Xenopus tropicalis: one gene and its partner. The protein of the gene in region 1 interacts with the protein of each later gene in a pairwise test. Links are inferred from orthologs where the notes say so. Each region holds a gene or a part of one and is shown in the gene's direction. Other genes may lie near its edges.

What was found. The genes of interacting proteins can lie anywhere in the genome.
Region 2: the proteins of klc1 (region 1) and bnip2 interact in binary tests that used the Homo sapiens proteins (3 or more experiments, as listed by UniProt). The two-hybrid records come from large-scale screens. The link is inferred for Xenopus tropicalis from reciprocal best matches to the Homo sapiens genes KLC1 and BNIP2.

What each region holds. Positions count from the first base shown.
Region 1 is NC_030684.2:98,512,018-98,516,132, forward strand, and holds the start of klc1 (kinesin light chain 1), read left to right. Parts: upstream 1-1,169; 5' UTR 1,170-1,327; intron 1,328-1,600; exon of another isoform or gene 1,601-1,623; intron 1,624-4,115. UniProt on the Homo sapiens protein: Kinesin is a microtubule-associated force-producing protein that may play a role in organelle transport. The light chain may function in coupling of cargo to the heavy chain or in the modulation of its ATPase activity.
Region 2 is NC_030679.2:96,408,827-96,412,482, forward strand, and holds part of bnip2 (BCL2/adenovirus E1B 19 kDa protein-interacting protein 2), read left to right. Parts: coding exon 1-51; intron 52-1,324; coding exon 1,325-1,427; intron 1,428-2,320; coding exon 2,321-2,452; intron 2,453-2,775; coding exon 2,776-2,862; intron 2,863-2,954; coding exon 2,955-3,053; intron 3,054-3,656.

The sequences.
Region 1 (4,115 bases):
AGGGATCGGGTCTGGCCCAGATCTGCTGAATTTTAGGTATTTGGCCGACCTAGGCACCGGACCTAAATATGCCCCTACGTCGTACGTGTGACGTCACACACACCAACGTAGTGGAAGTGACATCACATGCAGTGTGCCATCACTCCCACAGTGCATCCTGAACCCCCCCAGTTCCCCCACTGGATTTCCAGCGCTATCCATTAGAACTGCTTTCAGGTAACCTATTGTTTTTCCTACTCCCATGTAACTGGAAGAGTCCCAAGCCGGACTTGGATTTCTTACTATTGAACTCTGTTCTCATATCTACTGGGAGCTGCTATCTTGCTGCCTTCACATTGTTCTGCTGATCAGCTGCTGGGGGGCGGGGGTGGGTTGATATAATTCCAACTTGCAGCACATCAGTAAAGTGTGACTTAAGTTTATCAGCGCAGAGCACAGGTCGCAAGGCTGTTGCACCCTGGGAAATGAAGAATATGGCTAGCCCCATGTGAAATTTCAAAATTAGTTTAATGCAGGACTCTGCTGGGGAAGCTCTATTAACTGTTAAACATGTTTTCCCACAACAGTATTCCATTACGGGACTGGTTATACTTTGTGAGCATGGGGCTGTAGAGGTGGGTTTTAGCCAGATTTTTGGAGCCCCCATATCTGTGCAACAGTGAAAGGTGTACACAGTGTGTGTATGTTACTGTATATAAGCACAACTTTTTAGTGAACCATTAAAATGTATGTATACTATAGTGATTAGACTCTAGCATGGAATGCTTTATTCAAGGTCTGCGTTGCATAATTCTCTTCTACCGAATTACATCCAGATCTCCGGCCAAGTCCTGCCCTTTAGCCACTGATCGATAAGCAGATACCTGAGTCACGGTTAGAACATTCCAACTATGTAAGCACTGAAAACAAATTAGTAATCTCGGAGATACTGGTAAATATAATTTACTACCCCTGTTTCTCTAATGTTGCTAGCATTAGATTAAGGGGAGCCCAGGTCACCGCAAATATCTGACAGCTTCCAATACTCCCTTGCGCGCTGCTCCTTTAAGGACTGACGCATTACATCATGACTCGGCGCAGTGCATTGTGGGCGGGGAGGGGAGAACGCCATTTTCATTGGGGCGCAGACAGAGGCGGATACCGGGCACCGACAGCAGGAGGAGGATGAGCGCTGGATCACCGGCTGTTAGCTAGGAAGGCCTGGGATTCCCGGCCTGCGTCACTGTGACAGCTGGGTGCGGCTCCCAGACATCCTCTCGATTCCATCATCATCTTCATTATTTCTGGGAGGGCAGCTGCGGGCGGCACTGACAGGGACCGCAGAACGGTATGGGGACTGGCTATGCGGGATAGGGGCTTCCGGCGACTCGCTGTCTGTCAATGGGGAGACAATATCCTATTACTGTTTCGCAATGGCGAGAGTTGTAGTTCACATAGTACTAGATTTCTGTCTGCTTCATAGGGAGGAGGCAGGAAGAGGGCATCGCTAGGGCATATGCTGTTGTATCATTGATGCTCGGGGTGGAAGGGGGTAGGCGCTGTATTTGGTGCAGTGAGAGGAGAGCAGCCAGGGGGCTCCCACTGATTGGATACGCTCCTATAGGAAATAGACATCGTGTCTCCGTAAGTGATGCTTCTATCATCCTTTGTATGGTCCTAGGTAAGAGCCATGTTCTTCTCATCAAAGCACAGGCTAGCAAGCAAGAGACAGCAAGGGGTGGAGCATGCATGTAAACAATATGGAAGGAGCTCTTAATATATTATATATCTATACTGCATGACTCAAGTATTCCTCCATCCAGGCACAGGCTCCTGCCATTTATACAGCTGTGGCAACTGGGCACTTGTGTCTTTGCTTTTTCATTATCACTTTGCTGTTCCAGGCATGGTGTTATATATGGTGAGGGCAGGTCATATAAATAGAAAAACAAAAAATACTTTAATATGAAAGATTTAAATAAGTAAATAACCTTGGAACTTCATCAAAATGAAAAGCCACGTGATTTCTGGGATGAAAGGGAATGCTGCAATCCCTCCTGACTCCAGATCTGCTCAGAGCTGATGGCACCATGTGAACCAATTCATTTGATTTATGTAGTCATTAATGGAGCAGACTTGGTTGTGAATTGCCACTCTGACCACATAAGGCATAAAAGGCCCTTAATGCAAATGCAGTTGGCAGTTATAGAACAAGGCACCATAACGGATGGGAAATAGATAATTCACAGACATGACTCGGTTTCATTTGCAAAGATTTTAGTGAGAGCAAAGGGCTGTTTGAAATCAATACACATTATTTGTTTCATTTCGATCCTGTTTTAGAGAAAGGGCTTGTGAAATATATATTCTAGTAAGTCGTGGCTAAAAATGATTTGCAGAACAAAAGAATCATACACTTTTTAGTGTCTTACTACTTGTGAGGTATATGTGAATTGCGCAAATCAATACTATTGGTGATAGTTTAGCAAAGGGTATCAATGTAAGGCTCTGCCTATATGGATATGTAATGTACTAATCAATATTGTAATGAAAATTTCCTCTATGTGATGCAGTGATGTGTGCAGTGTTTGACAGTTTGTATCCTACCCCCCCCATGGGAATTAAGCTGTGTCAGTGCGATTACTCAGTCACTCTTTAGCACCTGCCTCATCTGGTGGAGCTGCTTTCTTTATTTTCCTGTATCCGTCAGAGCAATTAGCAGGGGCATTGTTAGCTTGAAGCCAAGATCATATATTTATTATGTGTTTTGTAAAGTTTCAGAATGGTTTATTGGTCTTATTTGTTTTGCGTTTGCTGGATCTGTCTTGATTTATATGATTTTGTATACCTTTCAACATGACAAGTTACAATGTTGCCGTTGTGCTTCCTTGTAACCACCTCGTGAAATTTGAAGACTTTGCAGAATAATATTGATGTAACAGTTTCAAATGTACAGTTAGCTTGCTAGAGAGAAAATCAATCTAGCCATGCTTCATTGCAGAGTCTCTTTGTGCCACTAAATCTGGGTATGTTCCTTAGCCATCTGACACACCCTGCCAGTCCTCCAGCTAGAATGCATCAGGACCCTGTACTTCTGTGTCACACACAGTAACGGTGTTAAAAGCAGGCTTGGCTTTTTCTAGGTGTCCCTTCTATGTACTTAGTGTTCTGACACTGCTTACAATGTGATAATTGTGGCAAGCCTGTAAGGGTATGCTTATTGGTTCTCCTCAGCAACACTCACAAGACTGGGATGCTAGAATCTTTGCTGTGACTGATATGCGAAATCCCATTTACTTTTTTTTATTCAAATAAGTAGACTGCATATTATCATATAAGGGTGTGTCTTGCTGCTTTAGGTTGTAATAATATGATTTAATTTATGTTACTCACTGTACCTTTCATATATATTTTAGGAGTAATTGAAAATCTTTCTGCCTACACTGTAATATATTTTTTGGATTAACTGCAACAATGTCTCTGTGCTCTCTCAGTTCTGCAGAAAAGGCACTGTAGTCATCAACACTATATCGTAATAACCATAGGACATTGGAATATGTTTTATAATCCTGCCTTTTTTGGATGTCCCTGATGAAATGCATTGGGTTTTTCATGTAAATAATACATTTGAACATACTATATTGGATTGCCCTGCATTTCTCCTGCTTTATAACCTGCTGTATGAAAAGAGAGCAGATGTTCCTCTTGGAGATCTTTGCATCCAGTATAATTAAGTATATTCACTAGTTAGTTCCCATGGGCTGCTTCTTAAGTTGTGCTTGAGAAAAACTGCAGTACAATCCCATTGTGTGTGTATTGAGAAAGGTGTCACACCCTTTAAAGAGCATACCTTTTGGTGCAAACAATGTAGATTTCACAGGAAACGCCTTGTAGGATATTTTAGTGGCAAGTCTTCTGACAACATCTTTATCATCTATCTAGCATGTCAAAATAAGGAAACAAAACTTTTACTGAAAAGCTAAAATAGGGAGCATACACACTTGCATTATGGGCATACTCGTACTGAATCCCTTTGGAACTGCAAATCTCAGCTTGCATTTGACATGTAATTGATATGCAGTAAAACTTTTTTGGCTGAAAAATTTAAATCCATCTAATCACAAGCTAAACAACTG
Region 2 (3,656 bases), on another chromosome or scaffold:
GGGTTGATATGACTGCCATAGAACCATATAAAAAAGTTATTAGCCATGGAGGTAAGAAGAGGTACTTACATGTAATCTTCTGCTCACAATAAAACCATGCACTCATTTTATATTATTATTATTTAAATAGTAATTTCAGTATTACCTTTGCGGCAATGCACTGAGAAACATGTGTGATTTTAGTGTGAGGGCTACACTTTGGATCTATACAAAGTATGTAATGAGATCTCTAATGCATAATCATTGCTGGTAGTTAGTGCAATGGCAAATAAATAGCACGCTCTGCCTCCTGGGAAGGAGGTGGATCGCAAAATAGCAGCACAAGCTTCAAATTGATATTAGGTTAAAAAAAAAGGAGACTAACTATATAAATTACCACTTTTTTTACTTTACATCATTGACCTGTGAGTGCAGTTTTATATGATTAGAAGATGTTGTATTATTTGATAGATAGATAGATAGATAGATAGATAGAAAAGCCCAGAATACTCTGTTAATTATATCTTTATAAATTGTACCTAGTAATGGGATCAATTATAATGACTTATAAAGGACAATGAAAGGTTAATATAAATTAAAAGTAAGTCTAAAGGCATTCTTTTTAAGTACTTACTGCATATCCAAATTCCCAGATCCCTGCTTGCTTCTCTGAGATATGGTGCTGGCAGCCTACAGCCTACAGCCAGCGGCAGCCTTCCCATTCTCTGAGCATGTGTGTAACTTGATCCTGTCTCCTGTTCTGAGCTACACATGCCCACCAGCCAATCAGAAGTGGATCTGGCAGAGGGGAGGGGGGGAGGGAATGAAACACGTGCAGTATGAAGCAAGGAGGGAAAGGAAGGGAGAATACCTTTTTAGAGATGGCTGCCTGTTCTAGAAAATGTGAAGTAAGTGTGACTGAGTAAATATTTGATTAGGTGAGCCAAAAGTGTGGTGTTTTTACTAAACAATAGGAGGACTATTGGGCAGTATGCTTTTTAAATTTTGACTTGCATTCTCCTTTAATGTCAAAGTGTTGTATTTTCACTTGACTCATTGAAACTTGTGTATTATAATAAATAATGCACCCCTTGTGCTAAAATATGCGTATATTAGAAGTCACCTCAAAGTTCCATGACCTGTATAAGAGCATTTCAGCCTTGTGCTATATGGTCATGGAAAAATAAGGGGGTACATTATTCAATATATAATCCACAAATGTGGTCTGCTCCCTCTGTAGTTATGCCTCTGCACAAACATATTTTATTACACAAATGAAAAGATCTAGAAAATGAAAAACCTGTGTTTCTCTTCCACTGACTTATTATAATTATTTTCATTAAAGGTTATTATGGAGATGGATTAAATGCAATTATAGTGTTTGCTGTGTGCTTTATGCCTGATAGTGGTCAACCTAATTATCGCTACCTAATGGACAATCTATTTAAGTGAGTATTGCATTCTGTATTTATTATCTATATCAGTACGATTGTATATAAAGAATTATATACTAAATACTTTATATTTCACTAGCCATGTGTAGCCTGTAGAATATGTCCTTGGAAACTGTTTAGTGATGTTGTTAGTTATTGGTGCTGCTCTTTGGTGTCAGTTGTGTTACTTGAAGCACCTGGGCTCTACTAACACTGAACAGCTGTTGCTTTTCATTAGTCCAATGTTGGTAAAAAAAAATAAAAAAGCCAGTGTCATAAAAACAAATATACCCCTCATTTAAATTATATGCATATTAGAAGGCACCTCAAAGTTCCATAGGGCATGCAAAGCACTCGGCCTGCAGCATCTTGTCTTTGAAGCCCCTCAGTAACATTGAATATACTTATATTAAGTAAGGGGGTCATAATTTACCACACAGATTAGAAACAGAAGGTGATTAATGAAGTCTTGGTCCTTTTGTGTAATACTGCCCACGTGTGGTTGTCCAAACTGCACATATTGGGCAGAATGATGAGACCACTAAGAAATGGTGGCCCCATCTTGTTCCTGGTGACCCCATAAATGGCATTGGGGCTCATATTAGCAGACCAAAATTTTGTATTCTTATTTTTTTGTAATCATCTCTATTGCAGCCACATTGCTTTGCAGCTGTTAGACTAACTTGGTTGTGGATCCACACAGAGAATTTGGTGCTTGGTAGTTTGTGACCAACTTTATTCCTTTTTGCTACGCTTCATTCATTCTGTTCCCCATTTTATTTAGGTGATTGTTAGTACTATGCAACCAGCTTTTTACCCCTTTTTTTTTTGCTGTGTCTTTTTGATTTTGTTCCCAGTTTTGTATTTTTATTTTTCAATAATAATAAGTATCTCTGCTTATTCATCAGGTATGTTATTGGCACTTTGGAAATGTTAGTTGCAGAAAACTACATGATAGTTTATTTAAATGGAGCCACAACGCGGAGGAAAATGCCTAGCCTAGGATGGCTTAGGAAATGCTATCAACAAATTGATAGGAGGTATGTCTAAAGCATCAAATAAATTGGGGGCTACAGTTACAGATGTAAGTTGAATTATGTATTTGAATGCTAATGCATTCAGGTCAATCTGTTGTTAGGGAAGCACAGAAACCAGAATACAGTTTGGAATTCACAGAATCCCAGAAGTTTTTTTTAAAGATTAGGATTTGCCTAAAGCCTGAGCAATCAAGTATGTGACTTAACTGCACTGAACAAAGATGCACAAATGTGCACTCTACTGGTCAACGGTTATATATATTTTTCAATTTTGCTAGACTTATTTTCATGTGGCCTAATCAAATGCTTGTCTTTCTTTATAAAAGGTTACGGAAAAATCTCAAGTCTTTGATCATAGTACACCCTTCCTGGTTTATCAGAACACTTCTAGCTATCACAAAGCCCTTCATTAGGTAATAGAAATGAAATCTGATCTTCTATATTTAATTATTATATTACTACAGTAGCTACCATAATAACCATTGTTGTTTTATTTTGTTTTTAGCTCAAAATTCAGCCAGAAAATTAAATATGTCTTTAGCTTGGTTGAATTAGCAGAACTTATTCCTATGGAGTACGTCAGCATACCGGAATGCATAAAAGAGTATGTAATGTTCTTTGTTTATTTCATTTGTCATTGTGTAGTTAGAAACTTAGTTTGAGACAGTTATATGATAATATATGGTTTAATATTAGAAAGGCAAACAGCTCTGTGCTACATTGATTGCTATAAGTGTGATATTTCTTTTCCTGCTGCCAAATTGCCTTTAACATAAATAATTGGGTACAAGGAATAACCAAGATTCTAATTGTTTGTCCTATAAAACATATTTGATTACTTGTTTTTAACCATTACTGTATGGTTTATAAACTGCAATATCAAATAATACTGATATTAGGAAGTTTTGTCACTAAATTATATGCAAATCTTTAAGGCAATGTGCACAAAATGTATAATGGATACCGAAGGACACAATAAAAAGGAATTACTAAGAATTTAGAAAATAAAGTAAAGTTCAAAGAGATATAATTTGCTCATATACATTGCAATTTACTATTGACATATATCTATACTGATTGTGTATAAATATCCCCTTATCATTGTTTAATTCAAAATTGTTTAGTTTAGCATTTCTATGCAATTTTTTGCATATAGGTGCCTCCATAATAAGCATTTTGCAATATGGGCAGACTTCCTGCACAGGAG